Linked DNA regions of Sus scrofa. The protein of the gene in region 1 interacts with the protein of each later gene in a biochemical or structural test. Links are inferred from orthologs where the notes say so. Each region holds a gene or a part of one and is shown in the gene's direction. Other genes may lie near its edges.

What was found.
Region 2: the proteins of CLTC (region 1) and TOM1L1 form a complex in vitro, tested with the Homo sapiens proteins (2 studies listed by BioGRID and IntAct). The link is inferred for Sus scrofa from reciprocal best matches to the Homo sapiens genes CLTC and TOM1L1.

What each region holds. Positions count from the first base shown.
Region 1 is NC_010454.4:35,903,225-35,909,281, forward strand, and holds part of CLTC (clathrin heavy chain 1), read left to right. Parts: intron 1-66; coding exon 67-189; intron 190-1,457; coding exon 1,458-1,603; intron 1,604-1,838; coding exon 1,839-2,022; intron 2,023-2,194; coding exon 2,195-2,387; intron 2,388-2,978; coding exon 2,979-3,136; intron 3,137-3,337; coding exon 3,338-3,502; intron 3,503-3,629; coding exon 3,630-3,737; intron 3,738-4,014; coding exon 4,015-4,182; intron 4,183-4,455; coding exon 4,456-4,605; intron 4,606-4,690; coding exon 4,691-4,822; intron 4,823-4,939; coding exon 4,940-5,050; intron 5,051-6,057. UniProt on the Homo sapiens protein: Clathrin is the major protein of the polyhedral coat of coated pits and vesicles. Two different adapter protein complexes link the clathrin lattice either to the plasma membrane or to the trans-Golgi network.
Region 2 is NC_010454.4:31,261,102-31,267,158, forward strand, and holds part of TOM1L1 (TOM1-like protein 1), read left to right. Parts: intron 1-2,182; coding exon 2,183-2,288; intron 2,289-2,991; coding exon 2,992-3,073; intron 3,074-6,057. UniProt on the Homo sapiens protein: Probable adapter protein involved in signaling pathways. Interacts with the SH2 and SH3 domains of various signaling proteins when it is phosphorylated. May promote FYN activation, possibly by disrupting intramolecular SH3-dependent interactions.

The sequences.
Region 1 (6,057 bases):
GCAAAAAGACAAAAAAAAAAAAGTTTTTTCTTTTACCTTGAAATTAATCTTTAATATCTCATTTAGGTTTGCAATGAGAATTCTCTCTTCAAAAGTCTTTCCCGCTATCTGGTACGCAGAAAGGATCCAGAATTGTGGGGTAGTGTGCTGCTGGAAAGCAATCCTTACAGAAGACCCCTGATCGATCAGGTAAAATTGGCAAATGTGTTTAAGGCTCATCTTTTTAACTGTGAATAAATATACTAGATATATAAGTATACTAGATATATTCAAATGGATCATATTTAATTGTGCGAGATGGCAGTAAAAAAGCAGAGGAAAATAAAAGTTATAATACTAAAATATATGTATATGTATTAACAAAAATGAAATGTATCCTCTCCAAGAAAATACATTCCCAACATCATAGTTAAAAGGAAAATAGCAAATTAAACATTTAATAAAATGTGTAAGAATTGCTGTTATTAATACCTGAAAAGTGACTAAATTGATTGGAAAGACTCAAGATAAAGGAAGAGAAAATACAAATGACTAGTAGGTAGTGTTAATAAATCTCAAAAGTAAACTTAAAACTGCGAAAGAGATGTGGGCTTACAACTATGTAAAAATTGAAAACGTTTTTTAAAACCTTAAAAATGAAGGTTGTTATAATGGTTCTTTAATTGTCCCGGTAGATGTCTAAGTCTTGAAAGAGAATAAATTGAAGAATAGTAACACTTTTTTGTTCCTCTCCTAGGAAACATTTCTAAGGCAAATTCCCAAGAAGATAAATACAAAGCTTCCTAGAAAAAAATATTTATTTATTTATCTTTGCTTTTTAGGGCCGCACCTGTGGCATATGGAGGTTCCCAGGCTAGGGGTTGAATCAGAGCTGTTGCTGCTGGCCTACACTGCAGCCACAGCAACGCCAGGTCCGAGCTGCTTCTGCACCCTACACCACAGCTCACAGCAATGTTGAATCCTTAACCCACTGAGGGAGGCCAGAGGTTGAACCCAAAACCTCGTGGTTCCTAGTTGGATTCTATTCTGCTGTACTACAGTGGGAACTCCCTAGAAAAAATATTTATTACCACATCTGGGAACAATGCAGATAGACAAAAATAGAGAAGTTACTGAGTATATAATGAACGCCATATCTGTATGGTTGAATTATGTGAAACCATAAAAGTGTTAAGTGGTTATTGTGGCTAATAGTTTAATCAGGGAGAAGATAGAAATTATATAATGAGGGTGATTTTTTTCCCCCCTTTTAAAAGAGAGTGGAAGTACATATGTTATGGGTATGTATGGATTTGTATAGAAAGACCTTTAGGTGGTAAATTTAAAGGTATTTTTATTTCATTCATTTTTATCTACCTGTTTCAAGTTTTCTACTGGGAGGCCAGCTTATTCTTACTAGATAATATCATCAAAACCACCTTGACTCTCAATACTCATTCCTTATATATTCTCTGTAGGTTGTACAGACAGCCTTGTCTGAGACTCAGGACCCTGAAGAAGTGTCAGTAACTGTCAAGGCTTTTATGACTGCAGACCTTCCTAATGAACTCATTGAACTGCTGGAGAAAATTGTCCTTGATAACTCTGTCTTCAGTGAACACAGGTATGTTGTGAGAGGGGTCCATCCATTGGCTCTCTATATTCAGTCTTTAATTTTGGCTTGTCAGTTTGGAGAAGGAACAAAAAGACAAAGATTGGAGAATGTTGTTTAAATTCTCACTCTTGTAATAACCTCTTCTCACCCTACCTCCTGAGACAAAAAATTCTGTAGCTGCAGTGTTTATTCTTTATGACTAACGAGCTTTTAAAGCATTTCATTCAAATCTTTTCTCTTAAAGGAATCTGCAAAATCTTCTGATCCTCACTGCAATCAAAGCTGACCGTACCCGTGTTATGGAATATATTAACCGCCTGGATAATTACGATGCCCCAGATATTGCCAATATTGCCATCAGCAATGAGCTGTTTGAAGAAGCATTTGCCATTTTTCGGAAATTTGATGTCAATACTTCAGCAGTGCAGGTAAACCTTCATATTGCCTGAGTTGATTTCCTACAGATAATGCCTGCCTTTGGTTCACTGTATGCATTGTCCTGTGAGGATGGGCATAATTTATTACTGTGGCAGTAGATGAGCAGTAAAATCCATAACTGTGTTGTTGGACTGTAACTCTAATTAAAAATTGATTGCCTAGGTCTTGATTGAACACATTGGAAACTTAGACCGGGCTTATGAGTTTGCTGAACGCTGCAATGAACCTGCAGTCTGGAGTCAGCTTGCAAAAGCCCAGTTGCAGAAAGGAATGGTAAAAGAAGCCATTGATTCTTACATCAAAGCAGATGATCCTTCATCCTACATGGAAGTTGTTCAGGCTGCCAATACTAGTGGTAAGGTTTCACACTTTCACGTGTTTGCCACCTCAGAAAATGTACCTTAGCTAAGCATTAAGTTACATGTCTATTCTGAATTATGTAGGAGTTAGAGACCTCATGGTTGTTTGCCCTCCATCCTAGTGCAGGTAAAGGGAGGCTGTGTTTGTGAAATTAAAAGCTCCATGGGGGTAGTTCCCACTGTGGCACACTGGTTTAAGAATCCGACTGCTATGGCATAGGTTGCAGCTATGGCTCAGCCTCAGTCCTTTGCCCGGGAACTTCCATATGCTGCTAGTGCAGCCACTTAAAAAAAAAAAAACTAAATGGGAAAGTTTAATTTTCTGTTTTAAAGTCTCATAAAATTCTGATCTAGTTCTATGCTTTTAGCTTTAAGAATAAAGGGGATTCAGCTATTCATTTGGTCAGTAATAATACAGAGGTGTAATGGAAGTTACACTATTTTGATGCATTTTACTGTTTACATTTGTTATTCTCTATACCGTTCCCTTGTGAAGGGAATTAGTAGCAATTCTCATTTACTTGAGTGGAAAGATAAATGTTACTGTGTTAGTGTTTGGATTTATATATTTGTTTTTCTATACCTAGGAAACTGGGAAGAGCTGGTGAAGTACTTGCAGATGGCCCGTAAGAAGGCTCGTGAGTCCTATGTGGAGACAGAATTGATATTTGCACTGGCTAAAACAAACCGCCTCGCGGAGTTAGAAGAATTCATCAATGGGCCAAATAACGCTCATATCCAACAAGTGGGTTTCCTGTTCAGATTTTTTTTTTTCTTTTAAAGGAGTGTAAAAATAGTTGAGCAATTTTATTAGCTCAGTAGGATCAACATGTGACAACTGAAGTTTCTAAGGAAAAATACTGTTTATCAGTATTATATTGAGTTGTAACTTTGAAAAAGAGGATTAAGTTTAGGCTTACTGAAAACAGTTTGTATTTTTTTTCAGGTTGGTGACCGTTGTTATGATGAAAAAATGTATGATGCTGCTAAGTTGTTATACAATAATGTTTCCAATTTTGGACGCTTGGCATCTACTCTCGTTCATCTGGGTGAATATCAGGCAGCTGTTGATGGAGCTAGGAAAGCTAACAGTACTCGAACATGGAAAGAGGTAATCTTAACAACAGTTTGAATGAAGAATTAAGATCCTATTTAGGAATGTTCTTTAAACTGATTAATTGTATTAACCAGTCATATCTGCACTTGAGTTCACATAATTCAATTTTTTTACACTGTAGGTCTGCTTCGCGTGTGTAGATGGGAAGGAGTTCCGTCTCGCTCAGATGTGTGGGCTTCACATTGTAGTACATGCAGATGAATTGGAGGAACTTATTAACTACTATCAGGTAATGAATTTGAATCTTTCATATTAATTGAGCTTTTTAAAAATTTATAGTTGGTTTACAATATTGTGCCTGTTTCTGCTATAGAGCAAAGTGACTCAGTCATACCTGTATATATACACACACCTTCTTTTTATATTATTTTCCATCGTGGCCTATCCCAGGAGAGTGGATATACAGTAGGACCTTATTGTCTACTTATTTTAAATGTAATACTTTACTTACTGAGATCTTTTGCCACAGATAATCTCATCTTTAATTGCGTATCTCCCTTTTTTAGGATCGTGGATATTTTGAAGAACTGATAACCATGTTGGAAGCAGCACTGGGACTTGAGCGTGCTCATATGGGGATGTTTACCGAATTAGCTATTCTGTATTCTAAATTTAAGCCACAGAAAATGAGGGAGCACTTGGAGCTGTTTTGGTCCAGAGTGAATATTCCTAAGGTAACCAACCTTTAATTGTAAGGCAGCTCTATAGCTAAAACTAATACTTTAATTTAAAAAAATTTTTTTATTTAATGATTTTTATTTTTTTTTCCATTATAGCTGGTTTACAGTGCTCTGTCAGTTTTCTCCTGTACAGCAAGGTGGCCCAGTCACACTTACACATACATATATATTCCTTTTTCTCACATGAATACTTTAAGTTCTTAAAAAATTTTCTATTAACTAGAATTAGAGACCCATAGCTAAAGCAATTAAATCTTTCTTATGCAGGTGCTAAGAGCTGCAGAACAAGCTCATCTTTGGGCAGAATTGGTATTTTTGTATGACAAGTATGAAGAATATGATAATGCCATAATTACCATGATGAATCATCCGACCGATGCATGGAAAGAAGGGCAGTTCAAAGATATCATTACCAAGGTGTGTACCATTATCAGAAGATAAAGTTTTCAGAAAAAGAAAACTCATGGAAATGACTCTTATGTATGGATTTTTCCTGTCTTAGGTTGCCAATGTGGAACTATACTACAGAGCAATACAGTTCTACTTAGAATTCAAGCCGCTGTTGTTAAATGATTTGCTGATGGTGCTGTCTCCACGGTTGGATCATACTCGTGCAGTCAATTATTTCAGCAAGGTAATTATTTTTAAAACCCCAAAACTTCATAGCAAGGCACTAAGACATACTTGGGTAGCTTTTGCCCATGGGACTTTAGCAATGTGCTGCATTTCTAACAAAGTCATTATTTTAAAGGTTAAACAGCTGCCACTGGTGAAACCGTATTTGCGTTCAGTCCAAAACCACAACAACAAATCTGTGAATGAATCACTGAACAACCTCTTTATTACAGAAGAAGATTATCAGGTAAGTTGTCTTGGTTCTTGTATATATTCTCAAACTCAGGCTATCACTGAGTTGTAAAGTTAGCATGTTCTGCAGTAAAAAAGCCCATATCTCTCTTAGGATTGTATCAAGAGGTGCTTGTGTGCCTTGAATCTAAATTTAGTGAAGTTTTGGAGTTCCCCCTGTGATGCAGTGGGGAAAGAATCTGACGGCAGCAGCTGTGGTTGCTGCTGAGGCACTGGTTCAGGCCCCAGCCCGGCACAGTGGGGTTAAGGATCCAGTGTTGCTGTAGATGTGGCATAGGTTGAAGCTGTGGCTCAGACTCAATCCCTGGCATGAGAACTTCCATAAATAAATAAATTTATTCCACAAATAAATAAATTTAGTGAAGTTTTCAGAATTGATCAATCTGATGTCTCCTAAGTAACTGCCAAGTTTGCACAATTTTGCTTAGCTCTTGTCCAAGTTAATGCTTTTGAAAAATACTATGGTTACTTCATTCCCAAACATCAATCTGTAGATCGAGTTGAAATTGTCTTTAATCTTTTCAACCAGTCCATAAAACTTACATGGTATTAACTATACTTTATTAAATACACTGTTTTCCTTGCCCAATACCATATTAGTAGTTGTCTTTTAGTAAACTTCCCCTTGTGAAGGATTTTGCAAAAATAAAGTTTAAGTTTAAGCTGAATGCCTTTTCTTTGTCTTATAGTCAACATGATTTTCTTATAGAAAGACTCGGGTCCCATCCTCATCTCTGTGACTGAGCATCATGTTGAATTGTATCAGAAGTTTCCCTAGAGCCTAAAAGTCTTACCCTCCAAATTACAAATCCTCCCAGTTTCATTACCATTCAAGTTAGTCCTTGATACTGAAAACTTGGAGAAGAGTGTGCCTTTAGAAGTTTTATAGTACCTTCAAGGACTTTATTATTAAACAGTTAGATTGAAGAATGTTGTTACTTGTTCAGATTACAACTTTGTGGTTTGAGGCTTGCATCTAGGCTGTTGTATTACAATAATGAC
Region 2 (6,057 bases), about 4.6 Mb from region 1:
TCAGAGCTGTAGCTGCTGGCCTATGCCACAGCCACAACAATGCCAGATTTGAGCCGCATCTGTGACCTACGCCACAGCTTGCAGCATGCCAGATCCTTAACCCACTGAGCAGGGCCAGGGATCAAACCCTCATCCTTATGGCTGCTGCTCAGGTTTGTTTCTGCTGAGCCACAATGGGAACTCCTGGAGTCTCACTTCTATTACAAAGATAGTTAAGGATCAGAATCCTTAGAGCTGTTTATATTCGCTCTCTCAAATTTCTTTCCTCCCATCCTCTGATAGACTTCAGACACGTTTTCCTTCCTACCTCTTTACAGAGCTCTGTCAAGGTCACCAGAGACCTCCAAATTTCTAAATCTGTCCTGCAGTTCTCAGTCCTTGTCTTATCTCACCAACAGCAAGAGACAGAGACAGTTAGTCGTGGCCTCCTTTCTGCAACACAGGGCTTTCAGGCACCATTCATTTGGGGTTCTTCTCCTGCCTCACTTCTCCATCTCCTTTACCCATCCCTCCTCCTTTGCTGGCCTCTCGGTGTTAGAGGCGCCAGGGTTTAAGATTTCTCTAGCTACATTCATCCCTTCGTGGTCTTTTGGTCTCATATCTTGAAATACTACTCAGATTCCTACTGACAAGTTGCTGTCTCCAGCCCATACCCCTCCCCTAGACTCAGAGCTTCCATCTCCACGCTCCACTTCACACCTCCTCCTATGTTCCTCCCAGCCCCAGCTCCCCATGTGCTCCTCCTCCTGTTTTCTCCGCTTAGTAAAGGACCACAATTTCAGTTGCTGAGCTCAGAAACTTGGGAAAGTCACGCTTGCCCTCTACTTACCTTTTACCTGCAACATGTATCTATTATCCAGCCACTTCTCACCCCCTCCATTTCACATCCGGGTCCAAGCCATCAGATGGCTCGTGCAGTGGCCTCCCTGAGGGTTCCTCTGCCACAGCCCTCACTTCCCTCTCCATCCCCTCCCCATCACACAATCTTGTCTCAAAAAAGAAACCAGAGCAATCTTTTTTTTTTTTTTTTTTAAGGGCCACACCCACGGCATATGGAGGTTCCCAGGCTAGGGGTCTAATCAGAGCTACGGTTGCCGGCCTTTGCCACAGCCACAGTAACAACAGATCTAAGCCATGTCTGCGACCTACACCACAGCTCACAGCAACACTGGATCCTTAATCCACTGAGTAAGGCCAGGGATTGAACCCACAACCTCATGGTTCCTAGTCGGGTTCATTTGCTCTGTGCCATAAGGCGAACTCCAGAAACCAAAGCAATCTTTTAAAAGTAAAGTTCATATTATATTACTCATCTGCTCTGAACCCACCTACGATTTTCTTCCTCACTCCACTTTATTCAGTAAAAACCTGAAATGCTGATCTGACCCCTCCCATTACCTCTCCAGCCTCACCTGTTGCCTCTCTCCCTTGGCTTACACTGTTCCAACTGCCCTGGCCTCCTTGCTTCAGAGTGTATGACCTAGTGTCCCCTCAGATAATCACAGGGTCCACATCAGACTCAGAGCTTTGCTCAGTGTCCCCAGGGATGAGGCATTCTCTGACCACAACTGTCAGGACTGTTGGAGCAATATCCCACCCCAGCCTCTTCTCCTGTGGCCCAGCTTATTCCTGAGAGCACTTGCCATCTGCCACCTGTTTACATTTGTTGGTTATCTGCTCCTTGAGGGCTGGGGTTTGGCCTCTTTTATATACTGCTTTATTTATAGAGCCTGGTACATAGTAGGTCCCCAGGATATAGCTTTGAAATGAATAAGGAAAATTACAAGGAGATATTTCTTACTAAAACTTTACTCTTTATCTGTAAGTTTTGATATCTTCACCTTATGCTTTTTTGTAGCTAATGTTTTTTGTCCTCCTTGAGGCTGAGGTTTTTATATTCAGTGTGGAACAAGAGACTCTAGACTGAGCCTTACATTCCTATTTTTTTAAGTTTATATTTTATATGGGAAATGAGGTGCAAGGGGCATGAAGCCAGACAGAAAAGTAGTAAATGTTGTAAGGGGTTGTTACCTAAAAGCTAAAATAATAGTTAATAATTACTAATTCTTAGCGAGTTGAGAGTATATAGTTCTTGGAATCATACCACTTGGAAGTCTAGGAATCTAATAAAGAAAAGCTTAATATAGAATGTTTATTTAAACATTCACTCTGCTTTCTTTAGTTTCCAGAATATTCAGATTCATTATTACCACAGCCAGTTAGTCTACAGAGCATTCCAGCAACATCATCAAACCAGAGACTGCCGACCTTGCCCAGCAATCATCCATGTACGTGACACTTTATTGTTTGCATTGAATAAGGAAACTTGTGAGGATATATGGATCTGCTAGGGATTTATTGGTAATTGGAAACATACAGAGAGGAAAAATTAGAGATGCATTTGCATTTTTAAGCTCCATGAGATAAATTCAGGGCAGATATGACTGACAATAGGGGATTGTAAAAATGCTTGTTTTACACTGAATATTATATTTTGAGTGAGTGCTGAGGTAAATGAACCTTTAGTGGAAGTTTGGAAATCTTTTTGTTAGATACAGGTTTTTTGTACTTGGAAGTAGCATTAGAACAGCAGTGTGGGAGTTCCTGTTGTGGCTCAGGAGTAATGAACCTGACTAGTATCCATGAGGATGCTGGTTCGATCCCTGGCCTTGCTCAGTGGGTTAAGGATCGGGGATTGCTGTGAGTTGTGGTGTAGGTCGAGGATGTGACTCGGATCCTGTATCACTATGGCTGTGGTGTATGCTGGCAGCTACAGCTCTGATTCAACCCCTAGCCTGGGAATTTTCATATGCTGTGGGTATAGCCCTAAAAAGACAACAACAACAGCAACCAAAAGCAGTCTGCTTATGTCTGGTTGTCAGTGTTTGTTGGGATCTTTCGTTTGAAGTCTAGCTCATAAAGAGAATGTTGATTTTGTGTATCTCTTCAAAAAGCACAGTGTGTGTTTTCTGGTCATTTTGTTGCCTATAGCAATGACAAAGAATGATCTTCAGCCACCCAATTACTACGAAGTAATGGAGTTTGATCCCTTAGCGCCTGCTGTCACTACAGAGTAAGTCATTTACAAAATGATTTCTTTCTTTTTTTTTTTTTTTGGTCTTGGTTCCCTGGTAGCAAAGCTAACAGGGCTTGGTTATACATTCTTTTTAAGGTTTTGGTAGAAATCAATGACCTTATTTAAAAATGACTTGAGTTTTTGTGGAGGCTCTTACTGGTCTTGTCATTCTCCGCCTTGGGACTAAAAAATAAAAATGCTGGGGCTGCACATGAAGAAATAACCCGAACTCTCATGTGCATTAGTGCATTCCTCATAGGTACCTGGGCAGAAAGTCAGGTTCTTTACAGCTTGAGAAGAGAGCTACTCATGGACTGGTAATATAAGTACCACATTGAGGGGATAATTTAATTGTTCTTTGACTAGTGCTCTCATATAAGAGCTTGTTTTTTAATTCTCACTACCTATGACAACAATATGTTTAAAATGGATTATTACTGTAAAAATAACTTTAACTTGAAATCCTTAAACAGCATTATTTTATGATTTCATACTGGTCAACTGTATGTAAATATTTATGATAGTTCCCATCATGGCTCAGTGGTTAATGAACCTGACTGATATCCATGAGGACAAGAGTTCAATCCCTGGCCTTACTCAGTGGGTTAAAGATCCGGTACTGCTACGAGCTGTGGTGTAGGTCACAGGCTCAGCTCAGATCCAGCGTTGCTATAGCTGTAGGCCAGCAGCTACAGCTCTGATTGGACCCCTAGCCTGGGAACCTCCATATGCCATGAGTGCAGCCCTAAAAAGACAAAAAATATATATATTTATGGATGGTAGGCTCAATAGAGCTGTAATGTACTTTGATTGACTGAAGTTTATCCCCCCAAATTGTATACAATGATTAAAGCAAATTTATGGAAATCATTGTTTAGAAACCAGCAGCCTGCAGGCTATAACTTGCCTGCAGCTGTGTTTGACCTATCTGAATTTTAAATATGCATTTGCAAATTAATTCCCAAGAGTTAAAAAGTGAGATATAGTAAAAAAAAATATCTGGACCTCTGGATTCTTTGGGACATGACAGAAATGCCAGGCCTGCATTTTTACATGCTAACAATAGCCTGGGGCTTTGTAGTAGCTGCCTCTTTAAGACAGGTAGATTCTGAGGTCCACCAGGCCCCACCCGACCCCCTGCATCCCTTCATCTGATCTGCCAGGTACATGAGGCATTTGCTACACCCTCAATGTAGTGATCCATTTTGGAATGATTTATGAATAAGTCTTAATAGGCTTAGGAGTTCATTAAATATTTTTTCCTAACAGGATTGTGAAATTTCCCTAGGTCATTCTGCTTGATAAAGTGTCACTGAATATACTAGTGGTTTAAGAAATTAGAAATTGGGGAGTTCCCGCCATGGCTCAGCGGCTAACGAATCTGACTAGGAACCATGAGGTTGTGGGTTCGATCCATGGCCCCGCTCAGTGGGTTAAGGATCTGGCGTTGCCGTGATCTGTGGTGTAGGTCACAGACATGGCTCAGATCTGGCATTGCTGTGGCTGTGGCGTAGGCTGGCGGCTACAGCTCCAATTCAACGCCTATCCTGGGAATGTCCATATGCCTTGGGTGTGGCACTAAATAGACAAAAAAAAGGAAAAAAAAAAGAAATTAGAGATTGGTTAAACTAGGTATGCTATCTGTAAACTATGCTCTTATCAGTTCTGCATCCAATAGGAATATAGACTATAAGGAGATATTAGGAGATTCTTGTAATATGGAGGTGCAACAGATATTAAAAAAACAAAGAAGAAAGAATTTCTACTCCAGCAGAACACAGAGTGCAGTACTTATACATACACATGATTCATTCATTCGATAAATGCATTGAACATTGACTGTGTGCAAGAGACAATGATCAATGCCTAATTTATCATGTTGAACATCTAGTTTGGAGGCAGAACTTAAATCACCAGGCAGACATGGATTTTACAACTTGTGTTAATGGTATGGAAGATGCTGACAGTATATTACAGAAAGAACTGATTTAAATGAGGGTTAGAGAAAGCCTGGGGAAGTGACATTAAGGCTAAGACCTGCAATTTTTAGTATGGTGGCAAGTTTGGGAATCAGTGTTGCAGGCCCTGGTAACAGTTTACACAAAGACCCTATGGGGAGAGACTTTGGCACATTCAAGGAAATGGAAAAGCCAGGGACAAAGAGAGCAACAGGGAACCTGTTACCAGATGTGGAAACTGCCATTTGGGAATAAAAAGAAGAGCATGCATAACTATGATGAACATCGCTGAAGAAAGATGAGGTCTGAACACTAGATAAATCACTGGTGATTTCAGTAGAAGCATTCTGGTATATTGATAGGGACAGAGCCAAATTTCAGTGCATTAAAAAATAAGAGATGAAGGGGACATATGAGACATTTCTTAACTTCCTGCTCAGTTTTGTTGTGAATCTAAAATTGCTCTAAAAAATAAAGTCTGTTTTTAAAAAAAAAAAAAAGTCAAATTCTTAAAGTCCCACAGACTTTTTAAGGGACAAACTGTTAATATCAATAAAAAAACTTTTGAGGAGTTCCCATCGTGGCGCAGTGGTTAACAAATCTGACTGGGAGCCATGAGGTTGCGGGTTGGATCCCTGCCCTTGCTCAGTGGGTTAGGGATCTGGCGTTGCCTTAGCTGTGGTGTAGGCTGCAGACGCGGCTTGGATCCCGAGTTGCTGTGGCCCTGGCATAGGCCAGCGGCTACAGCTCCAGTTGGACCCCTAGCCTGGGAAACCTCCATATGCCGTGGGAGCGGCCCTTGAAAAGGCAAAAAGACAAAACAAAAACAAAAACAAAAACTTTTGAATGCAAAAAAAAAAAAAAAGTAAATGAAGTAGATGCTAAGTGCACAGGTTATAACTTATGCAGAAACTTAAACATGAAGTGATCATGGTAACTGGTCTGACAGGTAGAGGATTATTGAGGTGATTAAGTAGACATGGGATTGAGTGTATTATTTTATAAAACGGGAGATAACTGGGA